Linked DNA regions of Macaca mulatta. The protein of the gene in region 2 interacts with the protein of the main gene of each other region in a pairwise test. Links are inferred from orthologs where the notes say so. Each region holds a gene or a part of one and is shown on either strand. Other genes may lie near its edges. The genes, in order: NBR1, SYT4 and SGTA.

The links.
Region 1: the proteins of SYT4 (region 2) and NBR1 interact in binary tests that used the Homo sapiens proteins (3 or more experiments, as listed by UniProt). The two-hybrid records come from large-scale screens. The link is inferred for Macaca mulatta from reciprocal best matches to the Homo sapiens genes SYT4 and NBR1.
Region 3: the proteins of SYT4 (region 2) and SGTA interact in binary tests that used the Homo sapiens proteins (3 or more experiments, as listed by UniProt). The two-hybrid records come from large-scale screens. The link is inferred for Macaca mulatta from reciprocal best matches to the Homo sapiens genes SYT4 and SGTA.

What each region holds. Positions count from the first base shown.
Region 1 is NC_133421.1:67,529,299-67,532,948, reverse strand, and holds part of NBR1 (next to BRCA1 gene 1 protein), read right to left. Parts: intron 3,524-3,650; coding exon 3,314-3,523; intron 1,781-3,313; coding exon 1,621-1,780; intron 1,527-1,620; coding exon 1,236-1,526; intron 517-1,235; coding exon 367-516; intron 1-366. UniProt on the Homo sapiens protein: Ubiquitin-binding autophagy adapter that participates in different processes including host defense or intracellular homeostasis.
Region 2 is NC_133423.1:49,172,218-49,175,867, reverse strand, and holds part of SYT4 (synaptotagmin-4), read right to left. Parts: intron 3,542-3,650; coding exon 2,727-3,541; intron 978-2,726; coding exon 857-977; intron 1-856. UniProt on the Homo sapiens protein: Synaptotagmin family member which does not bind Ca(2+). Involved in neuronal dense core vesicles (DCVs) mobility through its interaction with KIF1A.
Region 3 is NC_133424.1:3,534,657-3,538,306, forward strand, and holds part of SGTA (small glutamine-rich tetratricopeptide repeat-containing protein alpha), read right to left. Parts: intron 2,541-3,650; coding exon 2,441-2,540; intron 994-2,440; coding exon 889-993; intron 1-888. UniProt on the Homo sapiens protein: Co-chaperone that binds misfolded and hydrophobic patches-containing client proteins in the cytosol. Mediates their targeting to the endoplasmic reticulum but also regulates their sorting to the proteasome when targeting fails.

The DNA.
Region 1 (3,650 bases), on a different chromosome or scaffold from region 2:
TGTTCAAATTCATGCCTGTCTCCAGACAAGTGAAAAAAGGAAGAGTTAAATAGGAATTAGGTGTTGAAATAACCAAATGGCAGGAAAGAGAAAATGCAGCAGGTAAAAAGGAGAATCAGCTAGGCCAAAGTGAAGAGGCCACTAAAGGGAGTTTGTGGGGAAGTACAGGATTGAGTTCCCAATTCAAAGAGGAAACATCTAGTTTACAAATTTGCTTCCATGGGTGATCTCCTTCCCATTAAATATACCGGACTAGATCAAAGTGGGCATATCTCTGATTTCCTGATTACCGCCTATGGCTCTACCACCTTCTCTCCTGTGCTCTCTCCCTCTGTCCCTTGCCCTACAAAGTGCTGAATCTTCCACCTGGGCAGTCAGAAGATCCACAGATGGGATGTAGAGCTCCCTCTCACTGGCAACATTTTTTGCCTTCTGTGGGATGCAGGCTGCTGATCCTTCTGTCTGCTCAGTCACTTCACCAAGTTGTCTTTCTTCTTTAGCCAGAAGAAAAGCTTCCTATAGAGACAAACCATTGAGACAAATTTTAGGCCTTCAACAGAACTGAAGAGGCAGGCTGACAATGCCCCCAAAAATAAAAACTCTGCTGTACCTCTGTATCTTAAAAAACTTAAGAAATGTTTTTGATATATTTTTACAGTTATAGAAAAGCTGTAAAAACAGCAGAGAGAATTCACATTCACCCAGCTTCCCCTAATGACAACTTACATTAACTATAATAGTCAAAACCAGAAAATTAACATTGGGTAACTTTAAGCAGTAAACACTCTGCCCGACTAATACAAAGAAATTGCATTAAAAAACTGTGCACTAAGTAGCAACCAGGGCAAGACTTCATTAGTATTTAGGAAACATACACACAGTATTTCAGGAGATGGATATTAAGGAGAAAAGCTATCAGTTCAGCAGTTCCATAGGCCAGGCCAGGCCAGGCGCCCCTTTTTCCCTTGTGCAGCCAACAGGCTGACCATGCAACATTACAAAGAAGTATTCAGGGACCGCCTGCGGCAAGACCCTAAAGATACTAAAACAAAGACACTAAAACAAACACCCTAAGGAAGAGGCCAAATATCAGCACAGAAATGTGTTGGGGGCGGGGGGAGATGCTAACCTTTCAAGATTTCTGGAAAACAACTAGCTATGAGTGGGTTCTTTTAGCCATGTCCTTTCTAACTATGATTTGGATACTGGGCCAAAGCCTGTCAGTCAATGCTCACCTCTTGCTGGCAGGTGAGATCATCAGTTTTGCTTGAGCTGATCATGCCCTTTTCAATGTTATCAGGGCTCTCTTCGGAGGGGAAAGGATCCACTATGATACTGCACCAGACTCGAGGCCCAAATTGCTGGCCTTTGTGAGAAAGACGCCAATGGGAAGTATACGTTCCCTCCAAGGCTGGGGCAATGAACTCCACAGATACAACTCCCACATGGCCGGCCTTGAGGCAAGGAACCAAAACATCCTTCTTTTCTGTGGAAGCCAAAGTCAGGTTTCCCCACATGAACTTGAGCTGAAAAAAACAGTAAGAAGAGAAAGCAAGCTTGTCAGCTGAGCACTCTGCCACTTCAAATCACCTCATCTTCACATTTTGTGGGAAAAATTACCTTTGTGTCTGCACTCCACTTCACATTTCCTGTATTCTTCATCCTCCAGTGTTTGATAAACTTGGTTCCTGGCTGAAGGTGAGTCCCATCAGGCAAATTCTCATCCACAAATGCTGCACTGAGCATTGGCATAACGGGGGTATAGGGTTGCAAAGGGAGCCTGAACAGAAATTCAGATGCTTAGTCACTTGCTGTTGGGTGTGAAGTCTTCAGAATATCTCGCACTGGCTTGAGAGTCTGGCTGTGACTCTTGAAAATGTACTAACCCATTTGCCTTAAAAATAATACTAATATTACTAGTATAGGACCACATATCATAAACAATAAATTTTCTGACAAACTTAAAACAATAAAACAAAACAGAGGATAGGTCTCACTCCTGAGCTAAAAAAGTCATGGTAAGAGTAATTAAAAGGGCCCATAAATACAACACCTAGAGAGTCAGGCTTTTAAAATATTTGTTCCTTTTGCTTCAATTCCAGACTGCCTCCAATGAAGAGAGGGACCCCACCACTCTGAACTTTAGTGGTTTCTATCTTTCTGAAGAAGGAAACAAAACAAGTGTCAAAAATAACTACCAAATGTGGCCGGGCACGGTGGCTCACGCCTGTAATCCCAGCACTTTGGGAGGTCAAGGCGGGCGGATCACGGTATCAGGAGATCGAGACCATCCTGGCTAACATGGTGAAACCCTGTCTCTACTAAAAAATACAAAAAAATTAGCTGGGCATGGTGGCGGGCACCTGTAGTCCCAGCTACTTGGGAGGCTGAGGCAGGAGAATGGTGTGAACACAGGAGGCGGAGCTTGCAGTGAGCTGAGATCGTGCCACTGCCCTCCAGTCTGGGCGACAGTGTGAGACTCCGAGACTCTGTCTCAAAAAAAAAAAAAAAAAAAAACTACCAAACTACCCTTTAATAATACTAACACCAGACCAGGCACAGTGGCTCACGCCTGTAATCTCAGCACTTTGGGAGGCCAAGGCGGGCGGATCCTGAGGTCAGGAATTCGAGGACAGTCTGACCAACATGGTGAAACCCCGTCTCTATTGAAAAAAATACAAAACTTAGCCAGGCATGGTGGCATGCGCCTGTAACCCTAGCTACTCAGGAGGCTGAGGCAGGAGAATCACTTGAACCCGGGAGGCGGAGGTTGCAGTGAGCCGAGATCACACCACTGCACTCCACCCTGGGTGACAGAGCGAGACTCCGTCTCAAAAAAAAAAAAAAAAAAAAAAAAGCTGGGCGCAGTGGCTCACGCCTGTAATCCCAGCACCTTGAGAGGCCAAGGCGGGTGGATCACAAGGTCAGGAGATCAAGACCATCCTGGCCAACACAGTGAAACCCTGTCTCTACTAAAAATACAAAAAATTAGCCAGGCCCGTGGTGGCGGGTGCTTGTAGTCCCAGCTACTCGGGAGGCTGAGGCAGGAGAATGGCGTGAATCCAGAAGGCAGAGCTTGCAGTGAGCCAAGATCATGCCACTGCACTCCAGCCTGGGCAACAGAGAGAGACTCCGTCTCAAAAAACAAAAACAAACAAAAAAGCCAATAACAAAAAAACTAAGACCAGATAATCGGAATTTTTAAGGATTTGGGTGTTAAGGGTTACCAACAAATAAGACGGAAGTTGGTTGAAGTTCCAGTTTCAGAGAGCTGGGCCTAAAGTTTTGGCTCCCACCCCAGCCCTGGGCTTACATCAGGGTATTAGACTGGAGCAAGCTCTCAGGTCGGCCTAAAGGAGACTTGGGGCTCTGGAGTCCATGGATTGAATTCCACAGGTGAATTTTCCTATGGAGTTTAAGTTGCTTTTTAAGTTCCTTGACCTCTGCTTTACGTTGTTTCTTCTCAGCTCGCAATCTTTGCTTTTCTGCTTTAAGAAAGTTCTTATCAACCTGTTTCTGGAGCCTGTGAGATAATAAAAGCAAGTCTTAAAAGAAAGTCACAAATAAATTCTGAAGTTACGTGGAGCCAATTGCAATCTTCATCAGTGTCAGCTTCTAGTTGAATTTCTTTTTTTGTTTCAGAATCAGGG
Region 2 (3,650 bases):
TAGAGAATAAGGGAAAAAATTAATGATAGGAAAAGAGGTAACACAAAAGGAAAGAAAATAGAATGTTCTATGGACCCATTCTGATTATTATTAACTTAGTCCAAGAATAGAATAGAAGGAAAAAAATATATATTAGACAACATCTAGCTTTACTGACTTGTGTGACTTTGGGTAAGTCTATTTCCCTGACTTTTGGCTGTGTTTTCCATAAAATGAGGATTTAGAGTCCACAATGTCAATGTTTTTTTTAGTTTTAACTTTTATGAATTTCTTTAGTCACAGGCTGGATTTGCTTTCTATTTCCTAGTGTTGAGCTTCTCTGTGTCATTGTTAGTATGTAGATTTTAAGTTCATGCCACTTTATCACAATGCTTTTGCCTTTTTCTGGTGGCAATATATGAGTCAATTTTAGCTTCATAATCTAATCTTTTAAGACCATGTTTTCAACTTCCATCATTAAATAATACTAGTAATAACATTAGATGATATTTGAAGAAGTGTGTGTTTCTAGTTCTCACAATGCCCCTCAGGATGAGCAGTATTATGGCCAGTTTGTACAGAGGTTGAGAAACATACCCAATAATATTTTGTTAAGGAATGGAAGGGTTAGGATTTGAACTCAGGTAATGTTAAACTGTAGCTTATTTTGTTTCTCATTTCTATACAACAAACAATTAGTGTTTTGTTTCATTTTTTTTGTAAAGTTAGTCACAAAACTAAAAGCTAACTTTTACAGTAGATAAACAAGGTATTAGAGAAAAGATAAAACATAAAAGAGTAAGAGTAGGTGGGCTCATTTGCAGTAAAATACATTCCACTCATACAGTGAACCTGAGTATTTCAGAAGCATTCTTACCTGAAAGTCCGGACACATCAGATTTAGGCAGATGTCGAGCTTTTAAGACAACCACAGTTAGAGTATTTGTGGTGGACTGATAGCAGAGGGAAATCAGTAACTCACCCCGTCCTGAAGACTTCTAAAGAAAGACAAATGTGATATAAGTATTTCTATCTTTTTAGCTTTGAAGTTTGTACTTTCATTAAAGTTTAAATAACATTGTCATTTAAATGTAATCTTCTTACTTATTTTTATTTTTATATTCTAAAGAATCGAAGAGTAAAAGCTTTTCTGCAGGACCATCGCTGCTTGAAAAACCACTGCCTGCCATCTTGTGGTCTTGTTTGGTACTACAGGATGTTAAAATTCGCAATAAATTGACCACACCCATTACTTAGAAATGTTTAAAGCATATTTAAATTATATCCTACACAGGATTATTTTTGGCTTTTGGTTTTTAACAACATCTATACTTTTCAAAGTTATTACTAGTAACAAAGCTTATCTAATTATTTGCATGAGTATGTGTTGGGTCAAATGACTGCACATACTCATGCAAAAAATTAGATAAGTTTGATTTGATTTCAAATTCTTTACCACCGACATGTTGAAATTTGAACTCAGTCCCAGTGAGATTCATTCCGACCCCAACTACCTTCCTGGCACAGAGGGATAATGGAGTTAAAATTCTCTGCCTCTTTAACAACAGCAAATTTCCATTCAAGCCAAGAAATGAATTGATTTTAAGTACTGGAGAGAATTGTTTTGGGACGGTGTCATAGCGTCCTTCTTTGAATGCTACTTAGATTTCATTTGTACTTTAAAGACAATAGATAACATATCCAATAATTCAAAGTAAAATTTTTGACTGAAAGTAACAAGATATTAACTTGGTGTTTGTTTGCAACTAAGAGTGATGGCTGACACAAAACTAAAACTGCAATATATTTATACAAAAACTAACATGGGACAGCTGTATAAGTAGGCACTCTAAGGAGAATAAGAGTAGAAGAAAGATTCTTATTCCCACTGTGCCACTAAATCAGCCGGGTGTCTCAAACAAGCTGTGCAATGTCTCTGAACCTTGACCTTCATTAATTTCACTAGGAGAGGAGACAGTCAAAATGAGCTGTCAGGTTTTCAGTTCTGAAACACTATGTTGTTTCAAAAACGTAAATTAGTATGTTTATTGATTTTTATAAATAATTCTACTATAGAGAGAAGTTATTCTGAAATACTACTGTTGAAATCAATTGAGTTTCAAATTTAAAGTGAAGATGGGATTAAATTTGTTTAATTGATGCCTTATTTTTTCTAATAAACCCAGAACTACCAGAGTAGTATAACTACAAAAATAGAGGAACTCATTTCCTACTATACAATTTAGAGATAGGCATTGATAATTGAATATGACGTGATACCTCCTCCTTGAAAAGCAGTTCCATTGAAAGTCAATACAATTTCCAAATCTTCAGGAAGAATTGATTTAATTTTAAATTTCCATTTTAAATTCAATTACGTTGACCTTGAAACCTCTTTGTTAACTTGCCTATGAATAAGAAATATTCACCTATATTTTAAAGTAGCAGTGTCTGTCAAAATATTTATGATAGAGATTAACAAAAGTATTTACGTAAGTGATATATAAATATCCATAAAGAATGCATATTTATTTCATATCATTAAAACACTTTGAGTATTTCAGTTATGGATTAAATTTTATTTCATCTGTTCTATTCCCTTGATCTCCATTAGATTATAATTAATAATAATTAAACATGGTAAGGATGACATGTACAAGCTTATCATATTAATGAAAATTCCTCAGACACCAAAAAGCTACATAAAAGATTGTTTATAAATACTTTAAGCACTGAAAATAAATTACCCTAACATTTCTCTTGATGATCTCTCTGTTCATTAACATTTTTCCTTCAGATAATTCAATTCCCGAGAGAGGAATTAGAACTTCCCCAATGATATCATCTCTTGAAAACCTGTCAAAACTCAAAATTGTGAAGTGCAAGGCCAATTCTTGGATTTGGGTGTAGGGGATCCCATAGAATGTAAAGGTCTCATCAAAAGCTGGATCCAAGGTTTTTCTCAGCACTCTAGTTTTCACTTTATGCTTCTTCTCTGGGAGGATCGTCATTTTGATATATGGGTCAGAGGTCATCGACTGCTCGTCCATGGCTGGCAAGCCACGGGCTTCCTTGATATTGACCACAAATGCTTTTTTCTCAAAGTTGTATTCTAAGGAGAAGAAGAGAGTTCCCAGCTTCTCTTGTTTCTCTTCTGAGGAAAGGGAAGTGCTGGACTTTAAACTATCAGGGGAAACTGCCTCTTTTTCTCCTTCTAAAAAGAGCTTTGGGGTTGCATTCTCCAGATCAGAAGGGCTGCCAGGTTTGAGGTTGGTTTTGGGAAAATTGCCATTGAGATCTCTCTTTTCAAGATCCAGATGCAATGAATTCTTTGGCACAGTTGGCTTATTCTTTACTTCATTTTTGTCATCTGCTCCAAACTTCTTTTTGCTATTTAGGTTTTCAGGGTAAATATCAACTCCCTTAAGCACATGCACAAACTTGTATGGAGGAGTCTTGTTAGACTTGGATGATTTTCTCTGACAGCAGATCCATGCAAAGAGAGAGACTGTGAAGACCAGGCCAAATGCACTGAAGATCCCCACCACTGTGGGGATTTCATCTGAAAAATCAAATGACCAATAATATACATTAAAGAAGCAGAGCTGGAGATACGAGCCTTTTGAAAAGCCTAATAGAGCTAGCAATTGCTATAGGTTGAATAGATTGAA
Region 3 (3,650 bases), on a different chromosome or scaffold from region 2:
CGGCACCCCCTGCCCACTGTCAGCTGGCTGGAGACAAACCTGGCTTTCTAGGGGCCCAGGGGCGGGACCAAGGGAGACAGACATGAGAACACCGCTGCCGCACAAGAACTGGCGTCCCCATGGGGCCGCACACGAGGCCTCAAAGCCCAGAGCGGGCTGAGAGGAGGGAGCGGGCCGGCTCAGGGTCACAGGAAACGCGTGGATGTGGTCTTGGCCCCGCTTTCTGGCACAGGGCATCGAGGACCCTGGGAACTCAGTGACAGACGTGTCTCCTGTCGTCCACAAGCAGCCCCTGACTCCCACCTGAGTCTTCACTACTGAGATGACTTGGGGCCCCTAGAGAGCCCAGAAGGAGGCAGGTCCTGGGGAGACTGGGCAGGTGAACAGGATCCTCCCCAGCCTCCGGGGAGACCCAGTCCCACGAACTTTAAGCAAGGGCGTTCACAGAAGCAGGCGAATGAACTGCTTCTCATGCTGGGAGGGTGGCACCAGCGGCACGGGGCACAGGCTCCTGCCCCGGGGACCCTCCTGGCCTCGCCCTCAGACCCCTCCTGTGTCCTTCATCATAAACCAGGTGCTTCCCTGAGCTCTGTGAGCCGCCCCAGCAAACAATGGAGCCCGAGTAGGGGCCACGGGAACCCCAGTGGACAGCCAGTCGGGAGAAGCAAGGGGCCCGGGGATCTCCGAGTGGCACGTGATGCAGGGCGTCTGTGGGGCTGAGCCTGCGACCTGTAGGGGCTACGTTGGCTCCGAACGGCTAGTGTCAGAGCTGAACTGAACTGTGGGGGGAGAATCGGTTGTGGGTGGGGGAAAAAGCCACACAAGAGAGGAAGCAGGAGCAGGAGAGGAGGAGCCCCGAGAGACTGGAAACATGCGACAGGCACTCACCCCATCCTGCCGTAGGCCTTGCTGTAGGCGGGGTCGATGCAGATGGCCCGCTCACAGTCCTGCACCGCGCCTGCATAGTTGCCGAGTTTGCTGTAGGCAGCAGCTCTGGGGAAGAAAGGCAGGGCAGGTCCCTCACTGGCGGCTCTGAGCCCAGCAGGCAGCCCTGGAGGGGAGCCTGAGAGCTGCGTTCCTCTTCCGCTTCCTGGAGGAACGGCCTCAGGTTCCCCCTCTGTAAAATAGGGCTGACGGCGAAAGCTGAGAGGTGCAGCCACTGAGATGCTCTTAGACAGATGCGCGCTCAAGGCACCAACAGCCACTTGGGACTGCGACTCTGAATTTTATTTGCAAAAACTGTTCCAATCCATGGCTGCACAAGAGCAATGAGTGTGGGAACTTACACCCAAGTTTCGTTGACAAATTATTTACGTATCAGTAAAAAAAGAACTCAGACCAATGTCAAAGCTCAAAGCTCTTGGCTTACAGCATCTGAATCGTCTTCACCATTTTCGTGTTTAGTGTTTCTCTTTACGACTTTTTCAAAGTACGGAGAAGCGTAAGTGGAGAATAAACTACCCCGTGACAAGCGGCCAGGGACCCTGCACTCCCTCTGCAACTGTTCTGCAAGCCTGAAGCAGATCCCAGACCACACGTTCAAAAAAACCTCAACCCTCCACATACCGGATTATTTTCTTGGCTTGACATCCACGTGGAACGCCGTGACACCTGATTTTGTATGTATGTGTGTATGTACGTACGTATGTATGTATGTATGTACGTATGTATTTATTTTTGAAACAGGGTTTTGCTCTGCTGCCCAGGCTGGAGTGCAGTGACACGATCTCAGCTCACTGCAAGCTCCGCTTCCCGGGTTCAAGTGATTCTCCTGCCTCAGTCTCCCAGTTAGCTGGGATTACAGGCGTGCGCCACCACGTCCAGCTAATTTTTTTTTTTCGGGTTTTTTTGGAGACAGAGTCTCCAGGGTGGGGTGCAGTGGCGCAATCTTGGCTCACTGCAACCTCTGCCTCCTAGGTTCAAGTCATTCTCATACCTCAGCCTCTCAAGTAGCTGGGATTACAGGTGTACACCACCACGCCCGGCTAATTTTGTATTTTTAGTAAAGACATGGTTTCACCATGTTGGACAGGCTGGTCTCAAACTCTCGATCTCAAGTAATCCACCCGCCTCGGCCTCCCAAAGTGCTGGGATTACAGGCGTGAGCCACTGTGCCCGGCCCCCAGACTAGTTTTTACGTTTTCTGTGGAGACAGGGGTCTTGATATGTTGCCCAGGCTGGTCCCCAACTCCCAGCCTCAAGTGATCTTCCCCCCGTGGCCTCCCAGAGTGCTGGGCGAGCCACCTGATCTTAACGTCAGCGTCGACTCTCCCTGACCCCCTTGCTGGCCGCCTGATGCTTGCTCTGGGTCTGGGACCGCCGGTGAACGGATCCCTTATCTAGAGCGCAGAGGCCTCTCCCATCTCAGGCCCCTGCCAAGCATCCCGGAGGGCGCCCCGCACACGGCCGCCCCCGCCCTGGGCAGGCCCCGAGCTGGCACCTGTTGCAGAAATAGACGGCGTTGGCTGGGTTGAGCTCGATGGCTTTTCCGTAGAAATGCACGGCAGCTTCGAAGTTCTCCACTTTCATCTGCTCGTTTCCTACAGGGAGAGGGGGAAACACTGGCCCGGGCGTCCAGACAGACCCGCGGGGGCTCTCGGCCTCACACCGGGTTCTTCGGGGCACCTAGGGCTCAACACAGCCGTGGGCAGGAGGCGTCTGCATCTGTGGGGGGTTCACTAATCACAAACGGTCATCTCTACACCCACTAAGGGGGATGGAGGTGGGGCCGGCAGGGCCTGGCCTGGCGATGGATGGTGGCTCTCGCTGCCTGGATGGTGACCCCTGGGAACAGAACTGTTAATACAGCCCATCGGCCCAGGGATCGAAACTGTCCCTTTTGCCATTTCTTTTGGAAAGAGCCCAAGCGGAGGCCTGAATTTTAGAAAACTCCTGATACCTTCTAATTTCATAGCAATGTGGCTTCTATCTAAGGCATGGGTCCCAGCTGGCAGGACAGTAAAAAGCCCGGCTGCTATCCTAGAACCAACTGAGAGCTCTGAAGACAGAAACCCGCTCCCACCCCCGAGATCCCAATTCAGGAGGGTGTTGGGGGAAGACTGGTACCAGCGTGTTTCCTTAAACAGTTTTACTGAGATATAATTTACAGGCCACAAAGCTTATGCTTTAAAAATATAAGGCCAGGCGCGGTGGCTCGTGCCTATACTCCCAGCACTTTGGGAGGCCGAGGCAGGTGGATCGCGAGATCAGGAGATCGAGACCATCCTGGCCAACACGGTGAAACCCGTCTCTACTAAAAATAGAAAAATTAGCCAGGCGTGGTGGCGCGCGTCTGTAGTCCCAGCTACTCGGGAGGCTGAGGCAGGAGAATCACTTGAACCAGAGAGTCAGAGGTTGCGGTGAGCCAAGATTGCACCACTGCACTCCAGCCTGGGCAACAGAGAGACACTCGGTCTCAAAAAGAAAGAAAGAAAGAAATGGGATCACACGCTGTGTGTCCTTTTGTGTCTGGCGTCTCTCCCTGAGCGTGATGTCCTCATGGTGCATCTGCACTGGGGCCTGGGTCAGAGCCTCACCCATCCACATTCCACTGTGTGGACGGGCCACACTGCACTGACTATTTATTGTGGACAAGCATTTAAGCTGTTTTTGCTTCTTTTTATTTTTTTTTAATATTTCTTTTTTTTTTT